3 linked regions of the Macaca fascicularis genome follow. The protein of the gene in region 1 purifies or fractionates together with the protein of each later gene. This does not show direct contact. Links are inferred from orthologs where the notes say so. Each region holds a gene or a part of one and is shown in the gene's direction. Other genes may lie near its edges. The genes, in order: CTBP1, ZNF516 and CHD4.

Region 1 (3,424 bases):
CAGACGGGGGCTGTTCCTGCATCTGGGGAGCTGCCCGGGTACTCCGGCTGTGACTGACCTCGGAACTGCTTCTCCCACCTCGGCCTGCCGAGCCCTCCTCCCCGGACCGGTTGCCTCCTGCAGCAGCCTCGTCCCTGGGGATGAAAGGAGCCGCCATATTCCTTCTGGTAGAACAGGCGCCTGCCTTTCTAGGATGTAGTGTATTTAGACGGTCCTCAGCTCTTCTGACTGGCCTCCCAGCCTCCCCCAGGCTGTTCCCAAGTGACTGGGAGTCCCCTGGGCGTTTGGGCCACATCTGGCTGCCCTGTCTGCCTGGCGGTCTGGTCTCCTTGGCCCTCAGGCCGCCGCCACCGTGGGCCCCTCACACGTGTTGTTCCAGCTCTTCGGCTCCCTTCCCATCCCCTCATGTCTCCAGCAAGCTTGGTCTTCTCAGGGATGCCTGCCCTGGCTGCCACCTCTGAAACTGCACCCGCTTCCCACCTGCCCCAGCGCCCAGCCGGCTTCCTTCCTGTGCAGCGGTTCCCTCTGAGGCGATGCAGGAGACACCACATTGGCGGGCTTGGGTTCCTGTGTCCTTCGCAGCCGCGTCTGGGCTTCCGAAGTCCTGTGTCCCTTGCAGCCGTGCTGTTGGCTCACGGTGGGCGCATGCACCCTGCCGACCCTTCCCCAGGGAGGAGCCAGAAATGGTGGCTCTGGCTCCGTGGCTCCTGTGCTGGGGCCCACGCCAGCCTTGGACTGCTGGGGTCGGGGCAGGCACGTCTGCCCGGGATGGCTTTCTCTGCCACTCCACTGGAAGGGGACAGGACATGAGCCCAGCGGGGCCTCCCTGGTCTGGAAGGTTCCCTCCCGCCCCCTTTGCCGTCTCCACCTAGTCGTGGCTGGAACTGAGATGCCAGAGACATCGATGGGTGGACCGGAAAGCGGGCCAGTGGAGGGACCTGGGCACATAGGGCGTGTGTGGGGTGAGTGGAGACCCGCTGACGGTCCGTTTGACACTGAGTGGTTCGTGTCACGTCCTGTGGACAGGCTGCAGGGGGGGCGTGGCTGGCAGCTGGTGTGGGCCGAGGGGCTCGTGCACCCTTTCCACCCCCGTGCACAGCCTCCACCTTGGCAGTGGGCGCATCGGGAGCAGACACCTCGTGTGGAGACACCTCGCGCCGGCACCTTGGCTTGACCACAGCTGGTGTCCTTGGCAGATGGTCAAACTGAGGCACAGGGGCCACTCCGATCCTGGCTGTCAGGGCTAGCCTCCCAGCCACGGGTGAGCGAGGGTTTCACACTGTGTCCTGACACCACCAGGTCGCGTGGGGCAGGCGGTGGCGCTGCGGGCCAAGGCCTTCGGCTTCAACGTGCTCTTCTACGACCCTTACCTGTCGGACGGCGTGGAGCGGGCGCTGGGGCTGCAGCGGGTCAGCACCCTGCAGGACCTGCTTTTCCACAGCGACTGCGTGAGCCTGCACTGCGGCCTCAACGAGCACAACCACCACCTCATCAACGACTTCACCGTCAAGCAGGTGCGTGAAGCTGGGGCACAGGGCTCTCCTTCTGCGGGGCAGGCACAGGTGGGGGTGTCAGGAAGGTCCCTCCCAGCAACCACCTGCACCTGGGCGAGACCCTGCCTTCAGTGAGCCACATGGCGGTGGTGCCGGCCCTGCTGGGGGAAGCCCTGTCTGCCCAGACGGCGTTTTCCATGTTCTGAGTTCTACCCAGGATGCCTGAAATACTCTCTGGATAAGACAGAACCACATACCTTTGAATCCTAAATTCCCCTGAAGCTCTTGCCACTGTCACAGTGGAGATGATGCAGCTACCTGGGGGCATTGGGCCTGCCCTTCTGACTTCCATCCTGTGCTGCCAGGTTCAGGTTTCACATCTGCAGCTGGAGAGGGCTGTGCTCAGGTCGGCCTCTGCCTCAGCTCAGCGCAGAGCGCAGCCTCAGCCCGTGTTTCCCTCGGGTGGGCGGAGCTCGGGTGGGCGGAGCTCGGGACGGCTGCCTCCCGCCGGCTGTTGGCCTTTCAGGGAGTCGTTATGTGTGCACGGTGATGTGTGTGTATGTGGGCAAGTGTGTGTGGGTGCCTGTGTCTGCCCGTTTGAGCTTGTGTGTGCGTGTGTGTACACACGTGTCAGAGGCCACCCACCCACTCAAGCTGCCCCAGCAGCCTGTAGCCACAGGGAGGATGAAACCAGGTGCCCACCTCCCCTTCCTTTGTTCACAGAGCCAGTGGGTTTGGAGCCTTCTAGTGGACAGGGTGTGGCACGTGGATGCTGGTCAGGGCCCTGCCATCCCTGAGGACCTTGGGTGTGAGGCTGCAATGGGCAGCAACTCACCAAAGAAAAGCCACCATGACCCACCCGGCTGCCACCCAAGCGCAATGGCTGGGTGGGCTTCCTCGGAATGAAATGGGGGGGTTGCAGGAAAGCCCTGGCCACGAAGCTGACAGGGAGCCACTGCAAGGGCCTTTTGCAAAAGTGCATGAAAAGTGAGCGTGTCCGGAGGCCCCACTGGGGTTGGAGTCAAACACCACACCTCAGAGTAGATGGCCCTGGGCTTTGTCATCCCAGGGAGTCCCACCTCGTGGGCCGAGGCCCTGTTGGGGGAGGCTGGGCTGGAGGGGACCCAGAAAAGGGATACCACAGGGGGACCAAGCCAGGAGCCCCCACCCAGTCCTCAGCTCAGGGCTTGGGCAGGAACGTAGAGCTCTCTAGGAGGTGTGGGGCCATGCAGGTCTGCACAGGGCTGAACCTCAGCCAGCTTGCCAGGGCCGCGGCGCAGCACGCTTGAGGTCTTAAGTCCTAGCACCCTGGTGAGCCCAGGGTGGGCCTGGGCTGGGAAGGGGCCAGGGAGCTGGGGCTCCTCAGCAGCGTGCGTGACCACCTTGCTTCCCTGGCCGCTCGCCCTGCACGGAACCCTGACTGGGCCTGGCCTGTCCTCATGTCTTCCAGATGAGACAAGGGGCCTTCTTGGTGAACACAGCCCGGGGCGGCCTGGTGGACGAGAAGGCGCTGGCCCAGGCCCTGAAGGAGGGCCGGATCCGCGGCGCGGCCCTGGACGTGCACGAGTCGGAACCCTTCAGGTGCCCTCACAGCCAGTGTCACTCCCTGCTCTTCCCTGCCCACCATCCTGCCGGCCTTGACCTGCAGATGGCGCCTCTGCCAGGCCGGGCACTTGCTTGTACTCAGGCCTCTCGCTGGCTGGCACGGGGGAGTTTGCTGCTCACTGTGGGGTGAGGACGGAGCCACGGGCTCCAGGCCTGCCTCGCCTCGGTCCTGTGAGGGTTGATCGTCCTCTTCAGCCCCTCTTTGGGCAGGGCTCCCCACCAGCCAGGAGAGAGTGAGGCCCCAGTGTCCGTGAGTGGTCCCCACAGGCCCTGGCCATGGAGTCATGGCGTCATGTCCAGACCTGCAATCCCTGCAGCGCCCTGGG
Region 2 (3,748 bases), on another chromosome or scaffold:
TGCCCACCCTGGGTCCTGCCATTCTTCAAGTGTGGCTCCTGAGAGCACTGGCCTGTGCGCCCCTGCATGCAAATCACAGCTGACCGTGTGAGCACTCACCGCAGGGGAACAGCCTTCCACCGCCTCCACCTCCGCCTCCTGACCAAGCCCTCTAGCAGCACCAGGCCTCAGCTTCCTCATCTGTAAGACAGGGGTCAAAATGGTCTTAATTCTCAGAATGTCATAAGCATGAAATGAGAACGTGCACAGAAAGTCCTTACTCAGGTTTGGTGTGCGGTGAACGCACAATAGAAGCGGTGATATGTGGCCGGGCATGGTAGCACAGGCCTATGATCCCAACACTTTGGGAGGCCGAGGCGGGCCGATCACAAGGTCAGGAGATCGAGACCATCCTGGCTAACACGGTGAAACCCCGTCTCTACTAAAAATACAAAAAATTAGTCGGGGGCGGTGGCGGCGCCTGTAGTCCCAGCTACTTGGGAGGCTGAGGCAGGAGAATGGCGGGAACCCGGGAGGCGGAGCTTGCAGTGAGCCAAGATGGCGCCGCTCACTCCAGCCTGAGAGACAGAGCGAGACTCCAAAAAAAAAAGAAAAAGAAAAAGAAAAAAAGAAGTAGCGATATGTATGATGATGTTCTTCGTCACAGAAAGCATGGAAAATACAGAAAGACACAGAGAAGACAGTAAATTCACCCAGGGCTCTGCTGCCGGGAAACAGGTCGTAACACGATTTGAGGTGGGGGTGCACGCGCATGCGTACCAACACGCGGGCCTTAGGAAAATCAACTCGGGATCCCAGCGTGGACCCACACACGCGGCTGCCATTCTCACCCGCTTTTCTGCTTTAATTTTCTCCTTAAATTGGTCATTTGCTGTGAAATGCACATTCCACTTCTGGGTAGTGTGCACCGCCCTTCTCCCCCACGGAGTGCAGGAAAGTGGCAACGCGGCTGTGCTCCAGGCCGAGGCCACGCAGCTGGGGGGTGGGGGGCGCACGCGGGGGCGGCCTTGGTGCACGAGGCCTTTCATTTGTTGGTTACAGCTGGAAGAATTCGGATGTAGTTGTTGACCGAGAGAAGAATCCAAAACTGAGGAGCGGAAAATAACGAAGAATGAAGAAAGGAAACAGGAAGAGGTTGACCTTATGGATGGAAAGGGAGCTCCTCTTTCTCCAAAGCCAGAAGGAAAAGGAAGATTTAGAGCAGAGGAGGGTAAGTTTCCCCCGGATAATATGGATCCAGTTGCATAATGCGGCCAGGATGTTATCTGCAAAGAAGCTGTGGGGAGGAGAAGGCAGAGCAAGGAGAGCAGGGCTGAGGTTGTGGGAGATTCAGCCGGAAATGACAAAACAGAAACAAAACGTGACCAAGGCCATTTGGGGTCCAGCTGAAGTTCAGTGGCTTAGATGTGTAGCAAGCCCCATGAGCACTGTTGCACGACTTGCCCACAGCTGTTCACATATGGACTTTGCAGCTCTCATTCACTCCAGCCGTGGCAGGAGAGCCAGAGAGCCAGGCAGGTGCGTGGGAAGGGAGAGAAGAAAGGGAGGACGCGCTGCGGATTCCGTATTTACCCTAGTAGTCATCCAGACACGCTTCCCTTTCCAATCCCCAAAAAGGAAGAGGCAGAAACTGTCTACCAGTTAGACGGGAGGTGTCAGTGCCCCTGGAGGCTGTGGCCATTGCCAGGGAGACCCCACTCTGCACAGCTCACAAACACACCGTGTGTGTGTGTGTGCGCGCGCGCGCGTGTGTGCAGGGTCCTCACCCGCCCTGGGCAGCAGATGGGGAGTTCTACGTCCACTTTGTCACGCAGACAATGAAGGGGACCGCAGAAGGGGCTTCCCCAAGGACACAGAGCCAGTGGCCGCCTCACTGTGTGCCCCTCAGCAGGCGTTTCCACACTGCCTGGCAACTTTGAGAACAGCCGCTCTCGCTCGGTCTCCAGTGAAACTTGAAACCATTTGCATCTGCAAGTACTTTACTTATTCCATTTGAAAGGCATGCACATTTTTAAAGGGACACTGTTTTTAGCTCCTGCGTCCCTGAGTCATCCCGCATAATCTGACTTTATGAGACAGGGTCCCCTAAGGAGTGTCCTTGTCTTGACAGCCCTGTCTTGAAAGCTGTGCAGACCAAGTGGTGCCATATATATTGTTTTAAACTTATGGACTACCTAGAAAAAAGGTGCAATAGTAAAAAAAGCAAAACTTTTAATATTCAATGACAAACACAGACAGAAAATATGGAAAAATTAAATGTTAATGTGTTGGGATGACTGGATTTTGAACACATTTTATTTATTGAATTGATATGAAGTTTATGGAACAGGGATAAGTAGAGCTTGTTTCATACGATTATATATTTAGGTATTCGCTGACATATATCTGTATACATAAACATGTATGTATCGCTGTGTTTACATATGGACACACATAACATGTATGCATAAAACACATATATTGGTACCAAATTACTAAACCAGAAATTGTGTCGCTCATCCTACTCTATTATATGAAACATCAGGCAACAGTAGGTATTGGAAAATGCCAAGTCTGCGTGATCCCGGCAAGGGCAGATCCTGGCACTGGAGTTCTGGAATGCATCTCTCCCCACTTGGCAAAGATGCAGGGTGCAGAGGGGGTGTTAGCAGAGGGCTGGGTGCAGAGGGGGTGTTAGCAGAGGGGCTGGGTGCAGAGGGGTCGCAGACCTACCACAGGAGGACTTTATCAAGAGATGTGGGTTTTCTGGACATCCAGGACACCCACAATGGGGTGACAGAATTGCCTGTGGAGTGGAGTCTTAGTATTGAACTTGGCAGCTGCTACCGGATGCTCTTCTGGCACCTATGTTTTCAGAAAAGCAGGAGCTGGCCAAGAGTATGTGCCAGATTTCTCCCTGGATTGGACTGATTCTGCACTCAGCCCAGCTTTTTTTTTTTTTTTTTTTTCCGAGACAGGTCTCGCTCTGTCACCCAGGCTGGAGTGCAGTGGTGTAAGCTTGGCTCACTGCGACCTCCACTTCCCCAGTTCAAGCGATTCTTCTGCCTCAGCTTCCTGAGTAGCTGGGACTACAGGCGCCCGCCACCACGCCCGGCTAGTTTTTGTATTTTTAGTAGAGACGGGGTTTCACCTTGTTAGTCAGGCTGGTCTCGAACTCCTGACCTCAGGTGATCTGCCCACCTTGACCTCCCAAAAGTGCTGGGATTACAGGCGTGAGCCACTGTGCCCAACCTCAGACCAGCTTTAATCTGAGGGACGTGCATGCTCTCCACAGGCCCCACCAGTCTTTGTAGGGTCCTTGGCCCTTACGTGCATTTCCTCTCTGAAGAAGTCCTTCCTCCACCATGTTGTCCCAGCCTGAAATTGTCCCTCATTATGGAGACTTGAGAGGTGTCTCCCACTGACTCCTCTCTCAAGGGGTGAGGGTTTGCCTGACCAGACACCAGAGCTGGGGCACACCCCCTCCAGTTCACCCTGATGAGCTCCTTAGGCCACCACAGGGTCAAAATCAGGTTTAATAGCAGCAGCATTCACAGTAGCCACAATATGGAAACAACGCAAGCATCCCTCCGCGGGTGAATGGATAAGTAAAGTGTGCTGTATCTCCACAATGGAATATTATTCACTCATGAAAAGGAGGGAACACTGGCATATGCCACAACGTGGATAAACCTCGAAAGCCTTACGCTGAGTGGAGGATGTCAGGCACAAAATAACCATAGATTGTTATGAGCCCAGTTGTATGAAA
Region 3 (3,648 bases), on another chromosome or scaffold:
ATACACTAGCGGGATCAGAACCAGTGCTCAAGGTACATGTTTGAGAAGCATCAAATCATCTGCATAGAAGTGCTGGCTGACACTAGGAGAGGAGAAGCGTATAAGAAATCTCATATGTTGAGTCATAGGTTTTATGAATATATTTTTTAAGTAATTAAAATCTTTTCATAAATTAAGAACCAACATTCTGCCTCTTGGGATATATTTCAAAGAACCTTTAATACAGCTCCATCAGGTGACATATGCATGAGTGTTTCTGCAGTATGATTTTTGGTGATGGGGGCCTAGAGGCAACCTAAATGTTCAGCATTAGGAGAATGCATAGGTAAAACATGTATTCATATTATGGGGCATTAAACAACAGAAGCAACAAAATTCATGTGCATACAACATAAGTGTACCTTTTAAAAAATATGTAGTGGGAGAAAAAAAGCATAGGTACAGAAAACATCATTCTGTAACTTAGAAACATACATATGAAACAACACAGTCTTTAAAAACCTACACAAAAAGCCACAGTATTACTATATTAGAAAGGTTGCTTTTCAGAGGAATGGAAGTGAGATGGCGATAAGAGGAAATAAAAAAAATATTTTAAAATAGCAAAATAACCCTGTTTTTTTGAGACAGTTTCCCTCTGTCATTCAGGCTGGAGTGCAGTGGCATGATCCCAGCTCACTGCAACCTTTGCCTCCCGGGTTCAAGCATTCTTCTGCCTCAACCTCTTGAGCAGCAGCAGTTACAGGTGTGCACTACCATACCTTGCTAATTTTTGTGTGTTTAGTAGAGATGGGGTTTTGTCATGTTGGCCAGGCTGGTCTTGAACTCCTGACCTCAAGTGATCTGCCCATCTCAGCCTCCCAAAGTGCTGGGATTACAGGTGTGAGCCACTGTGCCCAGCCAAAACGTGTTTTTGAAGAGTAGTTGATAAAGTGTAGATGATAAAAAGGAAAATGTTTAACTGTAACTAAATGAAAACATAATATGGATATGTATATAGTATGATCTCAGTTATGTAAAAAACTATGCACAAAAAAACCTAAAAAGAAAAACATCAGGATATATTTCTAGAAGGTGGGATCATCTGTTGTTAATTTTTGATATTCTATTTTCTAAATTGAGTTTTTATTGCTTTTGTATAAGAGAATCTAAAGGGTAAAGAGTTTTAAAAACGAGGACATTGAAAAAGGGAAAGAAAAAAGATACAAGCCAAAGTTAAACTGCTTGGGTGTGGGAATGAGCTGTCCATGAAGTTATTTATAGGTTCTTATTACTATCAGAAACAATGAGAGGTGAGCTGAGAGGCCAGTCAGAAGTAAGCAAAGTGAGTTATCAGTCGAACTCCCGTTTCCTCTTATCCCTTGTCCAGCTCTTAGAACAAGCTCTGGTGATTGAGGAACAGCTGCGCCGGGCTGCTTACTTGAACATGTCAGAAGACCCTTCTCACCCTTCCATGGCCCTCAACACCCGCTTTGCTGAGGTGGAGTGTTTGGCGGAAAGTCATCAGCACCTGTCCAAGGAGTCAATGGCAGGAAACAAGCCAGCCAATGCAGTCCTGCACAAAGGTAGCCAGTGGCTCCCCTGCCTCCTGCTGATTAGGCCTCCTCCCTCATCTAACTGCATCCCAATGTACATATATTTGTTTTCAAACCTTTTTCAGAGCTCCTTTGAGAGTTTAGGAGTTGGTAGGGACCTTTGCCATCCTTGGGGAGTTAATATGTTAGAGGCAATCAAGGACAGTAGTTCTTTGCCTCTTTTTTTTTTTTTTTTTTTCTTTTTTCTTTTTAAGAGGTGGGCTCTTGGCTGGGCGCGGTGGCTGACGTCTGTAATCTCGGCACTTTGGGAGGCCAAGGTGGGTGGATCACGAGGTTAGGAGTTCGAGACCAGCCTGGCCAACATGGTGAAACCCCATCTCTACTAAAAATAGCAAAATTAGCTGGGCATGTGGCACATGCCTGTAATCCTAGCTGCTCAGGAGGCTGAGGCAAGAGAATCGCTTGAAACCAGGAGGTGGAGTTTGCAGTAAACCAAGATCGTGCCATTGCACTGGCTATCAGCCTGGGCAACACAGTGAGACTCCGGAAAAAAAAAAAAGAGATGGGCTCTCAACATTTTGCCCGGGTGGGTCTTGAACTCCTGGACTCAAGTGATCCTCTTGCCTCAGCCTCCTGAGTAGCTGGAACTACAAATATGTGCCACTGTACCCGGCCACCTTTTTTTTTTCTTTTTGAGATGGAGTCTAGCTCTTGCCCAGGCTGGAGTGCAATGGCGTGATCTTGGCCCACTGCAGCCTCTGCCTCCTGGGTTCAAGCAATTATCCTGCCTCAGCCTCCCGAGCAGCTGGAACTATAGGCATGCGCCACCACTTGCGGCTAGTTTTTGTATTTTTAGTAGAGATGGGGTTTTACCATGTTGGCAAAGCTGGTCTCAAACTGACTTCAAGTGGTCTACCTGCCTCTGCCTCCCAAAGTGCTGGCATTATAGGCGTGAGCCACCATGCCCCGCCCTGGCCACCTTTTTTTTTTTTTTTTTTTTTTTTTTTTTTTTTTTTTGAGGCGGAGTTTTGCTCCTGTTGCCCAGGCTGGAGTGCAGTGGCGTGATCTCGGCTCACTGCAACCTTTGCCTCCCAGGTTCAAGCGATTCTCCTGCCTTAGCCTCCTGAGTAGCTGGGATTACAGGCATGCACCACCATGCCCTGCTAATTTTGTTTTTTTGTTTGTTTGTTTTTTGAGATGGAGTTTTGCTCTTGTTGCCCAGGGTGGAGTGCAATGGCGTGATCTCAGTTCACCACAACCTCCGCCTCCCGGGTTCAAGCGATTCTTCTGCCTCAGCTTCCTAAGTTGCTGGGATTACAGGCGCCCGCCACCATGCCCGGCTAATTTTTTGTATTTTTAGTAGAGATGGGGTTTCACCATGTTGGCCAGGCCGGTCTCAAACTCCTGACCTCAGATGATCCACCTGCCTCTGCCTCCCAAAGTGCTGGGATTACAGGCATGAGCCACCACGCCCGGCCCCACCTCTTTTAACTTTAAATATATTCAGGTTCTTGAGATGGAAAGCAAAGCAGAATAATATAGTGTCATTTGGGATACTTTAGAGGTAACTTCAGGTGATAAAAGATCCCTTCAAATTCTAGACCCCTTTCAGCGTTTTGTTTCTAATTAAAGTAAAAGGTTATGAGGAGGCGGAGGGTGAAATAAGGAAAAGAATGCTGTTATAATGGAGGTGGGAGACAGATTCTGAAGGTAGAGAAGAGAAAAAACAGGAATAAGCTTCTCAAGAAGAGGAAATACAATAATAGTAAGGGATAGTGAAGGTTTAGGTGACTTTTAAGAGCACAAAATCATGAACAGTTGGAACTGGAATATGAGGAGCAGGAATTTGAACATGGTGGAGGTCAGGTCAGGTGACAGAAGATAACACATCACAGTCACTTGGTCACTGAGAAGTGATGCTGGTCCACTAGGGTAGAGGGACCTCAGTCTTGGCCACCACAGCTCACCACCTCTTTTTCTCCCTTTGCAGTTCTGAAACAGCTGGAAGAACTGCTGAGTGACATGAAAGCCGATGTGACTCGACTCCCAGCTACCATTGCCCGAATTCCCCCAGTTGCTGTGAGGTTACAGATGTCAGAGCGTAACATTCTCA

Evidence for each region.
Region 2: the proteins of CTBP1 (region 1) and ZNF516 purify together in Homo sapiens (co-immunoprecipitation; 4 studies listed by BioGRID and IntAct, counting the BioPlex papers as one, with this or other methods). This does not show direct contact. The link is inferred for Macaca fascicularis from reciprocal best matches to the Homo sapiens genes CTBP1 and ZNF516.
Region 3: the proteins of CTBP1 (region 1) and CHD4 purify together in Homo sapiens (affinity purification with mass spectrometry; 3 studies listed by BioGRID and IntAct, with this or other methods). This does not show direct contact. The link is inferred for Macaca fascicularis from reciprocal best matches to the Homo sapiens genes CTBP1 and CHD4.

What each region holds. Positions count from the first base shown.
Region 1 is NC_088379.1:1,311,778-1,315,201, reverse strand, and holds part of CTBP1 (C-terminal-binding protein 1), read left to right. Parts: intron 1-1,299; coding exon 1,300-1,514; intron 1,515-2,943; coding exon 2,944-3,074; intron 3,075-3,424. UniProt on the Homo sapiens protein: Corepressor targeting diverse transcription regulators such as GLIS2 or BCL6. Has dehydrogenase activity. Involved in controlling the equilibrium between tubular and stacked structures in the Golgi complex.
Region 2 is NC_088392.1:4,249,589-4,253,336, forward strand, and holds the start of ZNF516 (zinc finger protein 516), read left to right. Parts: upstream 1-909; 5' UTR 910-1,210; intron 1,211-3,748. UniProt on the Homo sapiens protein: Transcriptional regulator that binds to the promoter and activates the transcription of genes promoting brown adipose tissue (BAT) differentiation.
Region 3 is NC_088385.1:7,493,105-7,496,752, reverse strand, and holds part of CHD4 (chromodomain-helicase-DNA-binding protein 4), read left to right. Parts: exon of another isoform or gene 1-82; intron 83-1,369; coding exon 1,370-1,565; coding exon of another isoform or gene 1,566-1,568; intron 1,569-3,525; coding exon 3,526-3,648. UniProt on the Homo sapiens protein: ATP-dependent chromatin-remodeling factor that binds and distorts nucleosomal DNA. Acts as a component of the histone deacetylase NuRD complex which participates in the remodeling of chromatin.